Notamacropus eugenii: one gene and its partner. The protein of the gene in region 2 binds, or shares a complex with, the protein of the main gene of each other region. Links are inferred from orthologs where the notes say so. Each region holds a gene or a part of one and is shown on either strand. Other genes may lie near its edges.

The links. The genes of interacting proteins can lie anywhere in the genome.
Region 1: MED7 (region 2) and MED13L share a complex: the UniProt entries of both Homo sapiens proteins name them as parts of the mediator complex. The link is inferred for Notamacropus eugenii from reciprocal best matches to the Homo sapiens genes MED7 and MED13L.

What each region holds. Positions count from the first base shown.
Region 1 is NC_092875.1:29,411,359-29,418,417, reverse strand, and holds the start of MED13L (mediator of RNA polymerase II transcription subunit 13-like), read right to left. Parts: upstream 3,023-7,059; 5' UTR 1-3,022. UniProt on the Homo sapiens protein: Component of the Mediator complex, a coactivator involved in the regulated transcription of nearly all RNA polymerase II-dependent genes.
Region 2 is NC_092872.1:386,117,652-386,124,932, forward strand, and holds the start of MED7 (mediator of RNA polymerase II transcription subunit 7), read right to left. Parts: upstream 3,005-7,281; 5' UTR 2,870-3,004; intron 1-2,869. UniProt on the Homo sapiens protein: Component of the Mediator complex, a coactivator involved in the regulated transcription of nearly all RNA polymerase II-dependent genes.

The sequences.
Region 1 (7,059 bases), on a different chromosome or scaffold from region 2:
AAGCAACTGATCTCTATAATCCCAGATATCAGCATAGGGCTTAAACATAGTAGGTGTGCTATAAGCATGTGCTGTTTGCTGAGCTAGCTAGCTACAGGCAAATAGATCATGTCAGAAAAAGTCAAAATATTTTTTAGTGTAACCTTAAATAAACATGACTAACAACTCGAAAAGAGATAACTGTTTTATATTAGAAAGTAGACAATATTTTAAAGAAATGATTTATTTTTATAATATTCCAGTTACATCAGAAAGTAGATAATGATTTGGTTACTGTATTTAACAAAATTATCTTGTGAAAAAGGTTGTGAAGTCACTGGGAGGTGAATGCTATAAAGGAGTGGGGAGGTGAAATGGGAGAAGAGAATGCTCATTTAACCTCTCTGGGGCTCAGCTTCCTTAACTAAGGTAGCTGACTTTAGATTTTCCCTAAAGTCCCTTCCAAAGCTAAATTGTATAATCCTATTAAAACAACTTCTACCACCAATATTTAACTTGTTTTATTTCTGTCAAATGAATAAAAATGTTGAGGAATATGCACAAAATATGGGTCAGGAAGAAAAAATAACAGAGGCTAAAGACTTGTGTCTCAGAAGCTTAAAATCTTTATTTCATCAATACTTTATTCTAGAAATGAATCAATTGAATAATACTACCGAAAATACATATAATTGATTATATTTTAATAGATCTGAAAAGATTCACTATGGATGTGGTAAAGTCAGCCTTGAATCAGTTATCTCACTATAGTCAGACCATTAACTTGTCATACAATTTTTAAAAACTCAAATCTGAAGTATCTGAACAAGTAATTGATCATGAAAAATGAGTAATTGACAGGAAAAATGACAGGCACCAATTTTAATAATTTACACATTAGTTTAACTAGTGTAGATCAGTCACCATAACACGAAGAACCAAAAAGCCTAAAAAGCAACTTAATCAACAAAAACTTGATTTCTTTGCCAAGTGAACAGAGATAGGCAGCCAAAGACAATACCAGTTTAGAATACACTTATTTGCAAAATCCTTCCCAAAAATCACAAGCTCATAGAAGTAGAGCTAGAAGGAATGTTGATAGTCATCTAGTCCTATTCCTTCATTTTACAAATGAGAACAGTGAGGCGCAGAGCGATAGGATGGCTTCCCCAAGGTCATAAAAAGGCTATGATTATAAGAAATACTATTTTATAAAGTTTGAGAAAGTAAGTGGAGTAAAATCAGCTTTTAAAAAGTTTGGCAAGGGAATCAACTAATAAGCAAAGTGAGTTAACTCATGGGCATTTTAAAAAATTTTTTAAATTTTTCATTCTTATGAAAATAGGAAGACAACAGAAGAAAAATAGAAAATATCTGCAAAATATTTTATGACATTTTTTCACCTTCAAGAACAATCCCAGGTGGTCTGACAGAGGAGGCAGAAATGGCACCAAACAGAAAAAAAGCTTGGAAAAGCAGCCAGATTGGACCACATATACATAAAATGAAATCTGTGCTGAAGCTGCATAATTAGGAGAGCATAAAAGAGTGAATCCAGAAGGAATAGGTACCAAAGACATGGTGATAATTTCATCTATACAAAAGCTCCATGAGATTCCTCAGGATCTGCATTGAGGGAAGGCTCAGTGGAGTCAGGAGGGAGCAGGCTTTTGCAATCACTGCTTTACCATGGGTTATGTTCTTTGTTTTCTAGCATTTGATGAAAGATATAGTGAAGACGAGATCCTCCTGGGCTTATTTGTCAAATATTAATTTTATTTTGATTTGGTAAAATAAAATGCCACCTTAAAAGAATTCTTCCCACAAAATAACTCCCACCCATACATCAAAATCATTCAAGTTTCCCTGAAAGATGTAACAGAAATAGCCTTATTCAACAATCACTATGACATTAAACATCAAGTAAGGCATAAAACAGGGTGATATACGCTCACCAAAAGTATTCAAGTATCACTGTAATGGAGAAGATTTGTATAAAGTCCAAATTTAAAAGAGATTCCCTGTGAATGGTGAAGTCTCATTTCCTATTTGCTGGTGACATGGTGCTATTTGAATCAAGTCTTCGAAGCACTGCAGATCCTCCTGGAAGAGATTCATAACCACTCAAACAAGTTTGGCCTGACCATGCACGTAGGAAAAACTAAGTCTATGAATAACATCTACTGTCCAAATTTTGACATATGGTTAGATGGCCAACCTACAGAGCTTATCCATCAGTGTGTATGTATATGCATACGTGTGTTATGTATACATATGTATGTGGATATGTACGTATATATGACAGACAGTACAAATGGATAATGAATGAGTTGGCCTCATAATTAAACAAGAGGAGGAAAGGAAACTGGATGTCTTTGAAAAATTGCCAAGTTCCTTCTGTGACCCAAACTTCTCCCAGAAACAAAGATCTATGTTTTAATACTAACATTCTACTAGTGTTCTTACATAGCCAAGGCATGAAGCAGAAAAATCTCCAAAGAAATGAAAATTCATATCACATAAACAGCAAAAATGAGGTATATGGGCAGGAGGTTGAGCCACCTCCAAAGAAAATTTCAAAAAAGAAAAGGTGCAAAAAATATTGGGGAAATGTTTGATAAAAAGAGAAAATGGGCTACTCATGTAGCAACTACCAATGGCAGGTCAAGAGCCCCCGGGGGGGAGGGGGGGGTTAGGGTGAAGGGAGGAAACACACTGCCTAGGTACAGGAACCCCAAAGGCTAAAGAGATAGTTGAGAACAACCTCCCCACCAGCCCCTCATCACTGCAAAAAGCAGCAAATGCTGATTCAGCCCAGCTGGGAAAGGAAAGGATGAAAGCCCAAAGTCCCTGGGGTAACTACTGAGCCCTCCAAGGCTACTTCGCTTAAGGTCCAGGCTGGTGAACATGGAATCACTCCAGGTGAAGGGAGACCAGGGCAACTCTGCAACTTGGACCAGAAAGTCAAAAAGTCAGATGTAGGTGGAAAAAAGGGCTGAAATTCCCAAATTTTTAAAAAGAGAAAAGCTAAAAACAAAACAAAAAAAAACCCAAGAGTACAAATAGATAAATCCAGAGAGAAGATTCTAAAATTAAAAGGAATGTAAGTACGAAGTCCTAAAAAAGTATATAAACATTACAAGAAAAAGGAACCAATGTTTGATTAAATATAGAGAGCATGCATGGATTTCAAGAATTCTTCAACAGAAAAATGAAATCCATTAGAAAAAAAATGTCATTTAATATAGCCAAAAATGTGTTAATGCAGAAATTAGCTCATTTCTCTTTTTTTTAATGAATACACAATGGAGAGTTTTTCCAAAGAAGGAAAAGAGAGATTAATATATTTAGAATACAAAAATTCTTAAATGGGGGAACATCTTGGGGGGAAAAAATAGCAAAAGGTGAAAATGTTAAAAGAACAAACAATCTGTACATTAGTCAAAGCCATTAACCTTAAATATAGATATGCACAGAGACAACTTAAGAATCACAATCTGAAAACATGACAAATCAAAAGACCTGACCACCATCAAATATTAATTAAAAATTTTAAATAAAATCCTTGCAAAAAAGAATAACAATTTATCCAAGAAATTATCCCCTATATATTTTATTTATACCAGGGATATTACGATGGCTCATCATAAGAAAACAATATAATTAATCAAATTTTTAAAAAAAATTTGAAAATCATATTATATCAATAACTACAGATAAAGCCTGCGACAAATTATAGCACTTACTTATAATAAAAAACCCTACGAAGAATAAGTATAAAATATGATTTAAAGTATTTATCTAGAACCAAAAGCTAGCATTATTTACCATATATACAAAAGCTTCTCAATAAATATAAAAGCAAAGCAAGGATGTTCCCTTTACATGGTGTTATTTGATGAAGTTCTAGAAAGTTTCCAACAAAGAAAGAAAGTAACAGCATAAAGATAGCCAAAAAGGACAAAATTACTTTCATTTGCTGATGCCATGACAATCTACTTTAAAAAACATTAGGGAATCAGCAGAGAAATTAATGTAGATAATTAACAGCTTCAATAAGTAGGCTACAAAATAAACCCACAAAAATCAACAATATTTCTATATAGTAATGACAAAATCCACGGCAAGAATAAACCCCTTTCAAAATAACTATGAAAGGTATAAGATATCTTAGAGTTACAGTCAATATTTGTGTAAAATGAATAAATGAGAAAGCATTTATTAAGTATTGTGAAGCACTGTGTGGAGGACTAGGGATACGATTACAAAATCAACTCTATAGAGTTCAAAACTATTTCAAGAAAAAACAAATAACAGATATTTGCTGCTCATGGTTGGGCTTTGCCAATATAATAAGAATGACAATACTACATTAGAAAGTAGTAACTGTCAAAATCAATACTCGTTCAAGTTGATCAACAGAAAAGACTAGCCAAGGAAGAATCAGAGAAGTATATAACCTCAATAAACCTGAAAATAGAATTTACCTAGGTAAGTCTTCCCTGTTTGATATTAAGTACTGGGGAACATGGAAAACAGTTTGGAAGAAATTAGATTTAGACCAGTGTCTTAAGTGAGATAACATATACACAGCCATTAGAACTTTAAAAGCACTACTGTCATCTCATACCAGTGACATCAAAGTCAAATAGAAACAACTACACATAAGGATCCCAGTAGGTGCATACTGGCTTAGAAAACTACATATTAACATTAACTGTTTTACTACATTTTTATTCATTTTGCAAAATATTTCCCAATGACATTTTAATCTGGTTCAGGCCTCCCACATGGACCACATATTTGACACCTCTGTCTTATACCAATAATAAATTCAAAATTGATGACCCAAATGTTAAAGATAATTTTACTAAAAATTTAGATTATAAGTAGATCAGGTACCTTTCACAGCTGTCTAAAGAATAATTTCTTAGCAAATAAAGGATACATGATTCAAAAAAGATAAAACTGATAATTTCAGTTACATGAAATTGAAAAGTGTTTCCATGAACAAAATCAATAGAACTAGAATAAAAATAAAAGAAATGATGGGTTAGGGAGCAAAGAATCTCTGAGAAGTGTTTAAAAGCAAAACATATAAACAACTAAGGGAACATATAAAACCACAAGTCATTCTCCAATAAATATGTGGTTAAAAAACAAAAATACGCAATCTTCAAAAAAATTTTAAAACATCAACAACCATGCCAAAAAAAAAAAAACTGCCCCAAGTTAATATTAAAAAGGAAATGCAAATCAAAAGAACTCAGGGGTTTCAGCAAACTGGCAAAAATGACAAAAGATGGGCATTTATTAAGAGCACTATGAAATAATTCAACCAATCTAGAAACACTATGGCATTATGCAGAGAGAGTGACGAAAATGCTCATTCTCTGACTCAAGAGATTTTACTGCCAGAAATATGCCCCCCCACAAAGAGGTTAAAGACAAAAGGAAAGATCCCCATATGCACCAAAATATTTATAGTGGTCATTTTTGTACTAGCAAAGAACTGAAACCAAAGCAGATACCTGTCATTTGGGAATGACTAAACAAAGGGTGGTACTTTAATACAACATAATATAGTGTTATAAGAAAAAAAGGAAACAGAGACTGATGTACGGTAAGTAGAACAAAGAAAACAATACACATAATGCTTCCAAAAATATAAATGGGAAAACACAACGTAGGGCCCACCTACTCTGGGGTTCCTGCATGGTGATCATAACAATTCTGCCTCTTCATTACCTGGATCCTTCCCCCCACCTTGGGGCTGCTTAATTAGCCCATCAGAACCTAAAAGCCCAGTTTCCACCCTCCCACCCCCACCGCTATGATCAATCAATAATATCCCCCAAACTCCTGCTGGGGGATGGGGCTGATTTGGTCATCAGGCCTTGGATATGCCTAATCCCTCCACAAATAGGGAAAAGTGAGGGCTGCCCAGCCCCCATGTAGTCCTAAGTACATCCCTTTGACCAAGGCATCTCTTCTTACTGAGTTGTTGCCTCTTGCATGTGCCCCCTCTTCCATAGGTCTCAGTGCTTCATGAGTGCCTTCTGAGAATTCCCCCTGACATACTGGTCATACTGTTTTTGGTTCTGGCTGTAGTGGGGGCGGCTGAGGTGGTGACAGCAGGAGCAGCCACAAGAAGGAGGCCAATGGACTAAGAGCGCACAATACTAACGACAACCTCAACGCAAAATTCAGAGAGAGAAAGGTCAGTTTGCAGCGAACATTGAGCCCAGAGAAGGTGCTAAGAGAACACAAGGAAAATCGCAGTCTCTGGGAGGCCCAGCCCCTGTCCCCCACCCATGAAATGATGTACTGCCTTTGCAGGACTCTCAGCACTTCTAAAATGATGGGCTGCCGTCTGAATGGCCCCAGAGCACCTGACTCCCACCTCAGCTCAGGCTCTGCTGAAGCAGCCTCCTGATTGGTCTTCCTGCCTCAAGTCTCACAGATGGGACCTTGTTACTCTCCTTCTCAAACAATCAGAGTCCCTGCCTCCCACTTCCTTTAGGATAAAATAATGAATTGTTTAACCTTAAAAACCCTTCACATCCTGACCCCAGCCTCACTGGACCTCAAGCCCCCTCATATTCCACTTCCCAAGCCTGGGCCATTGCTCTTCCTGGTACTCACTGCCAGAATGTCAGCCTTCTTCACCTCTACGTCAGGGAGGCTCTCTCAGTCTTCCTTTAAGACAGAGCTCAAACACTACTTTCTCTATGAAGTCTTTCCTCATTCCCCCCACTAAACAGCAGCAGTACCCTCCCCTTCCAGACTACCCTGTATTTAACTACTTTGTATTTCTTGACATTATCTGTATCTTTATCCTATAAATACTTATACAACTACTTTGTGTTGGATTTGGAATATAGGCTCTTTTCTAGGCCAGCCCCTAAGTTTCTGTCATCAGCCCAAGGCACATGTCAGACACCTAGCAGGTGCTCCATAAATTCCTGTTGATTGTCAACAAAGAAAAAAGGAAGGTTAGGTGTGGGAATTAAAGGAGAGAAGAATGTCAAGTGACATTGAAAATGCTCAGAGGAGAGCAGACAGGGACAAAGACAAGCA
Region 2 (7,281 bases):
TGTGAACAGAGGTAATAAGTTCAGAAAGGTAGGCTGGATACAGATTGCCAAAAGCTTTAAAGTCCAAAGAGAGAAGTTTGTATTTGATCCTAGAGGCAATAAGGGACCAAATGAAGCTTAAGCAGATGACTATCATTGCTCCTTTAAGAATATCTCTTTGATAGCTGTGTGGAGAATGGATTGGAAAGGGGGAAGACATCTGAGGCAAGAAAACTAATTAGGAAGCAATTGTAATCATACAGTTAAGAGAGAATGAATAGCTGAACTACATGATAGAGCAGGGGGAAAAAAAAGGATCTGAGAGATGTGGAAAAAGGAAAAAACAAAACAACTGACTAGATGGGAAAAGCAACTCAGAATCATAGAATCATGCATCTAGAGCCCTAAGAGATTTCTGAGGCCATCTTCAGAGCCAATCCTCTTATTTTGGAGATAATAAACTCAAGAAAGTGAAGTGATTTATCCAAAAGCATAAAGAGGCAATGAAGTGTTTCTTGAGGATAACTAAGAGGCTGTAAACTAGGGACTAAAGGACTGGGGGTACCCTCAACAAAAATAGGAAAGCAAGTTAAGTTTGGGGAAAGATAAAGAATTATGTATTGGAAATGTTTAGTGTGAAGTGCCTTTATTTGGATTATTCAAGTCAGACATATCCAATAACCAACTGGCAATTCTAGACCAGAGAATTTTAAGCTCCCTAACAGCAAAGAGTTTTAATTATTTATATATATAATACTATATACTGTATATAATTATATATATAATATATAATATAGATGTGTGTGTATATATGTGTGTGTGTGTATACGTATATATAAAACACCAGCATCTGGCGACTAGTTCAGTGCTTTGAACATGAAAAGGCTCTTAACGACTACTTATGGGACTTCCTTCTGAGGAATCGGTTGGACTAGATGGCCACTGAGGGTGAGGTCCCTCCAAAGTTGAAGTTTTCTTGAATCAAAATCAAATAAAAATACTAGCAATATGTGAATTCACATATGAAAAGGAAATAAAAGAAGTCCAACATTCTTTATTTTTTGGGATGGGAAAGGGTTGAAGGTGTCTTTGAAAAAGGGTACAGAGGCAGTGGACACCACTGGAATACACAGGTTCAAGGTCTCAGATGGCACTTATTTATGTGATCTTAGCCAAAGTCTTCCCTCACCAATGCTCCTTATAACTACAAGGTGATGGGCCTGAAAGCATCCGCAACTGGTATGGTAAATTTCCTCACTGTCCCAAAAATAACATACTCTTTTCCCCCTCACCTGGAACTGCCTGTCTCCTTACCAGTTAGCCAAAGAAATCCTATCTAGATAAAGTCCTACCTCTAAGCTACAAGGCCATAATGGTAAAAACCACTACACCTTGCAAATTAAAAAACAAAAACACTGCTAGACTCTTAATTCCCGCTCTACCTGTGTGATCTTGAAAACATTGCTTTAAACACCACCAAGCTAAAGTTTAATCAGTAAAGGGGTTTTAGTCAAGTGAATTAAAAATATCCCTTTATATCCTATAACCATTGCTTTTTTCAAAGATTGTCCTCATGCAGAGTCTCTTCTCACCTCCTTAAATTAAACACCACCTTCCAGCTGCTGGTGCGCCCCTTACGTCCCGTGCAGTTAGACCTAAGTTTGTAGGAAACGATTTTGTTTCGTCTCTGAATCCCCAAGTTCTCATGAAGTAAATGCTTGTGGATTCATTTGAGCCACTCACTACCAAAATAACCCCGTGTAAATCACTTAACCTCTCAGAGCTCCTTTTTCCTTTGTAAAATAGGTATATAAACGTCTGCTTCGCTGAGCTGTTTTTAACCAAACGGGACCACTAACGTACAAGGTTGGGAAACATTAAAGAACCAGCATCAATACCGATTTTTTGGGCTATGACGACCACCTCTACACTCTAAAATGAGTTTCATTCAGTTCTGACAAAACGGCGGCAAAAGTCAACAGCGATCCTATGCCAAGGTGTGCGCTAAGTACGGGAACACCAAGAATGTTTTCCCTCCAGGAGCATTCGATGAGGGGTTGGGGGGGCACACGAACACCTCCGTATAAACAAGAGTTGGGGGGCACACGAACACCTCCGTATAAACAAGAGTTGGGGGGGCACACGAACACCTCCGTATAAACAAGAGTTGGGGGGGCACACGAACACCTTTATATAAACAAGAGTTGGGGGGGCACACAAACACCTCTGTACAAACAAGAGATGGGGGGGTGCCGAGACACAGAGGGAAAATGTTCGCACTAAAGGTACGAGTTAAGGCTGGCGGGTCTTAGAGGAGAGTCGGGGGGTGCCAGGACGTGAGGAGGAGGAGGAGGAGGGGGAGGGGGAGGGGGAGGGGGGGGAGGGGGAGGGGGAGGGGGAGGGGGAGGAGGAGGAGGAGGAGGAGGAGGAGGAGGAGGAGGAGGAGGAGGAGGAGGAGGAGGAGGAGGAGGAGGAGGAGGAGGAGGAGGAGGAGGAACACCGCAGGCACCGGGAGGGAAAATGCACAGTCCCCAAACCTTCCAAGTCTCACTTTCCTCCGGGGGCCCGCAGGGACGAGCCTCTCGGCAGGGGGTCCAGGGGGCCGCCCGACTGGGGCGGGGGGGGGGGGCCCAGCTCCCACACCCACAGGCCTTCCACGGGGAGGGGCCGCGACCCCCGCCGTAGCCGGGGCGCCGCGAGGGGGCGGGTAAATCGGGGGGGAGGGGGCGGGGATGTTTACAGAAAAGGGCAGGGGCGAGCACGCCGAGCGCCCTCCCCACAGCCGGGAGCCTGCAGCTCCGCTGGCCCTTTCCCTGCCGAGAAATCCCCCGGGAGAAAAAAACCCAAACCGCGCCGAGATCCCACGTCCCCAGCTGACATCGCCACTCACCTCCCACTACTTCACGCAGTTTCTAGAGCGTCGCGGATAAACCGCGTCTATGGCCGCCGACTTCCGGCCGCCTTAGTCAGGAAGAAGAGCCTCCCCTCCCCGTCTCCCCCATGGAGCGCCTTCTGATTGGCTCCCGGAGCCGTCCGTTAAGGCACTAACCCTCCCCCCACACGGTCTGTTTAGGGGCTGGCGCGGCTCCCACGCCTGCGCATGCTCCCTGGGACTTTTGCGGGACTGAAAGTTCTTGGGGGGAATTTTTCCAGAGAGGCAAATCAAGGGAACCTTTTGTCGAAAGTCACGGCTGATACGGCCGCTAGTATTTAAAATCGGAAAGAAAAATAGTGGGGGAAAAATCATGGAAAGGAGATACTTTGAAAAATACTTTAAAATGTAAAAATTCAGTAATTTAAAAAACTTTAAAAAAACAGTAATTGTTCTTCTAGCTCTGAAGTTTGGTACACACTAGACACACTTTTGTTAAACTCCTTTGAATTCCGTTGAGACCCCATGAGAGGCGGGTCCCCGCAGTCGGCATTCTCCCCATTTTATGGAGGAGAAAACAAATCACGTGACCTGCCTGTGTTCACACCTTTAGGGTCGAAGGCAGCCTCAGACCCTGAAATTCACCAGTCCTTTCCATTACAGGTAGGCGCAGCTGTCGCAGTGTGCAACATAAAATAGGTGCTCCTAGAGCTGTGGATCCCAATTCCTCCCATGGGTGGTCTCTGCCTTCAAGGCAGAGGTAGAAATCAGGCTTGGAGTCAGCAAAGCCTGAGTGCCAGTGTGGCTTCATGCGCTAACTGGGCAAGGGTGGGCAAGCCCCTCAACCTCTACCTCAGTTTCCTCGTCTATAAAGTGAAGTTGTCTCCCAGGGTGGCTGTGAGGATCCAGTGGGAGGACTGTAAGGTGCTTAGCAAATACTACACAAATGTTAGCTATCATTATACAACCCAGTAGGCACCGTTCAAAACCTCTAGGTGGTCCAGTGGGTAGTGTATTAAATTATCCTAGGGGTTCACAACACATTTCTTTTTTGTTGTTCCTGGTGAAAAGGATTCTCAGGACAAACAAACAAAAATTGGCAACTACTTCTGTAGTGAAAGATGACCACCAATATAAAATGCAATCCAAGTGGGGGAATCCAAAAAGATATCCCAGAGGCTGGAAAAGCAGGGAAATCTAGTAGGGGATAAAAATGTAGTACCCCAGGGGGAGTCAGTCAATAAAAGTGAGAGAAATCATTGTTAATAATCAATGATTTGGGGCCATTCCCCCCTTTTTTCTTAAGTCCTGATTTTAAAAGTTCAGTCTCTCAAGGAGTGTTATTGATAATGAGACTGAACTTTCTTGTTCAGACCCTATGTGGTTGGAGAAGTTATTTTGCACTGGGTGAGGAATCAGTTCTTTGAATAGATTGCCCAAGGCAGTAATTTAGGAAGGAAGTGACATAATCAAAGTTCCTGGATGAGCCCCCTCCTTGAAATCCACATAATCTCACTGTTAGCTAATCAGAATTGATGGCTACCCTTGTAAACATTCCTCTTCCAATGGGCATACAAGCTTGAGCCGCAACCAAGATAATCTTTGGTCCAAGAGAAATAGGTAAATGACCATCTTTTACTAATAAACATGCTGGCATTATTAATAAAATGATTAATTACCCGGAAATTACATCTATGAGGCTGAGTGATAGGAACTATGCTAAGCATTTGTGTTCATCCTTCATTGCCGAAGAAGACCATGCTGTCAGAGAAATGATGATATGACTGCATTTGACTTTGTTTTGACTGAGGGAGGGTGGTGCAGGTCACCAGCCTATCTTCTCCGGAGCCATCTGAATCCAGTGACCAGATATTCATCAGGGTGACTGGAGATAACCCAAGATGCACTGGGAGATCTTGGCCCCTTTAGGCCAAAGTCTATGCAGGTACCCACTTAGGATGAGCACTGGGCATACAAAGAAAGACCAAAACCCAGTCCCTGCCCTTCAGGAGAGGTTGGCTACCACAGAATTTCAAGGTATAGGGAAGACCTGAATTCCTAAGACTATGGCCCACAAACCCTCAATGATGTATTTACTTTCAATAGTCACCCAGAGTATATGATAAGCTCAAAGCAAAAACATTGCTGAAATATAATTTTAAAAAAAGTAGCAGCTAAACATTTCCATAAATGAACAGTTCAAACTTTCCCACTAATAACCGACGTCAATGGGAAGAGTTAACACAAACAGAGATCACAAATAGGAAAGCTCATATAGGAAACACATGTGAGACCAAGGCACTCATAGGGAAGGGAAGCCAGAAAGGGATATTTACCTCTCCAAAAGCCTGCAGATCTGTTCGTTTTGGTGCTGCTTCTACTGCTCTTGGTGGTGAAGTTTTGACTGGATGCTGTTGGACTTTCCTGGATTCTTCTTGTCTGTGCCTTGTCCCACTGGTCACTACTGGACACTGCTTAACTGCAGCTTGCACCTTCTCCAGCCCCTGAATCAAATAAGTCAATATATAAGGAGGTACTTTGCAAATCTTAAATTGTTAGGCTAGTGCTATTGTTATTTTTGTTCTGGGCAGGAACCTTGGCCTGAGGACCAGCAGAAGGAATCCCCCATGCTGCTCCCTCAGAAACCCAGGTCTGAGGCCAGCTGTGTCCTGAGTAAGAGATCCTTAACTCCACATGCCAAGAACAAAGAACACAGGAAGCAAATGCTAAGGGTTAGTATTTTTTGCCCAAATTTTTACTGCCACCACATTTAGTCATTATTATGCTTATTAATAGGCTGATAATACACTAATATCATCAACCCCTCTAGGAACAAGCCAGCAACCTGATTCCTAAAGGTCTTAAGTCTCATCCCAGTGCTCATGGAAAGTTTCCTTCCTTCCTTTGCTCCTGAGGAGGTGGCTTTCTGGTGAGTCTCCATAACTGGCACTTTGCACTGTTCTTGAGAGAATGTTCAGAAGCCTGCCTTAGTTGAAACACAAGAGCAGGGTGAAGGCTTGGGTCTCTAGTGCTGCGGGCTTTTATGGTTCTGGTGAAGGGAGTTCCCAAGTTATGTCTATGTTCTGACTGGTGATTAGTTACCTAAGCTACTGATGAAATTATCCATTACAGAACTACCAATCAAAGTTTTAGTTTCCTAATGTCATTACTAAACGTTGGGACTTTTGGAAGATTTGGGACAACATACTTGATGCAATTTGCAGGTACTTAACTGTTACTTACCAGATTTGGGGAATAGTCATTAGTGATTACTTGCTGCTCTTTGTCCTTTTCTAGAAGATAACAATGACTTCAGGAAGATGATGCCATGACTTGAAAGTGAACTGGATTTAAGTGAGGGAGGGATGTGCAAAGTCACCAGCCTCACTATTTTCCTCTGAAGCCATCTGGGTCCAGTGGCATGATATAGATGGCCCCTGGAGATGGCCCCCAATCATTTAACAGATTTGTGGGCCAAACTATACCACTCAAGTGCTTATCTTATTACAGGGAGAACAAAATAGCTTATATATGGACTATTTAGTCATAAAATGGAGGTTGAAAACCAAATGGAGTTGCTCAGCCTAATATATTTATTCCTAATACATCAATATACTTTCAAATATGTTCTCAGTGAATTAGGTTATAAATCAGGTAATGGTTATTATTTGTGTGAAAGTCATTAAATCATTAAATATTTATTAAGCACTTAATGTGCCAGTCACAGTGCTAAGTTCTAGGGCAACAAAAAGAGACAAAAGACAGCCTGCCTTCAAGGAGCTTACAATCTATTGGAAGAGGTAATATGAATACGAATGTGTACAAAGGAAGTTATATATATGCAGAATAAATAGGAAATAATTAACAGAGAAAAGGCACTAGAATTAAAAGATTTTAGGAAAGGCTTCCAATAAAATAAAGGACTTAAAGGAAGATAGGGACGTCAATAGTTAAAGCTGAGGAGGAAGAAGTAGTTCTAGGGAAGACCAGAAAAAGTTGAAGTCATACAAAGTCTAAAAGTCAAAGTCATGCCCCACCCTAGAAATTGTAGGTGTGTGAATTCCTCAATTTAATTGGAAGAGGCCTCTCCAAAACAATGAGTGGGCCTTAGGCTACTTTCACTTTTATCCTTATCTACTCGGCTACCTAAGACTCCCTAAGGTATAGGCCAGAGGATGACTGAAATGAAGCTAATCATAAGGCTAAAGGAGGAGGGAGAAGGGACTTTTAAGTGAGGAAAAATTTGATAAAAATAATAAGATTTGGTGCCCTGACTGGAAGAACTCAGTAGACGTCCAAGGGTCTTCATGTCCTGCATCCAGACATTCTGCTCCCTTTTAGTTCCTTTTTGTGTGTTTTCTTCCCCCATCAGCTGGTGAGCTCCTTTCCTTTTCCTTTTTTTGTATCCTCCTCCATGCACATACTTAGCA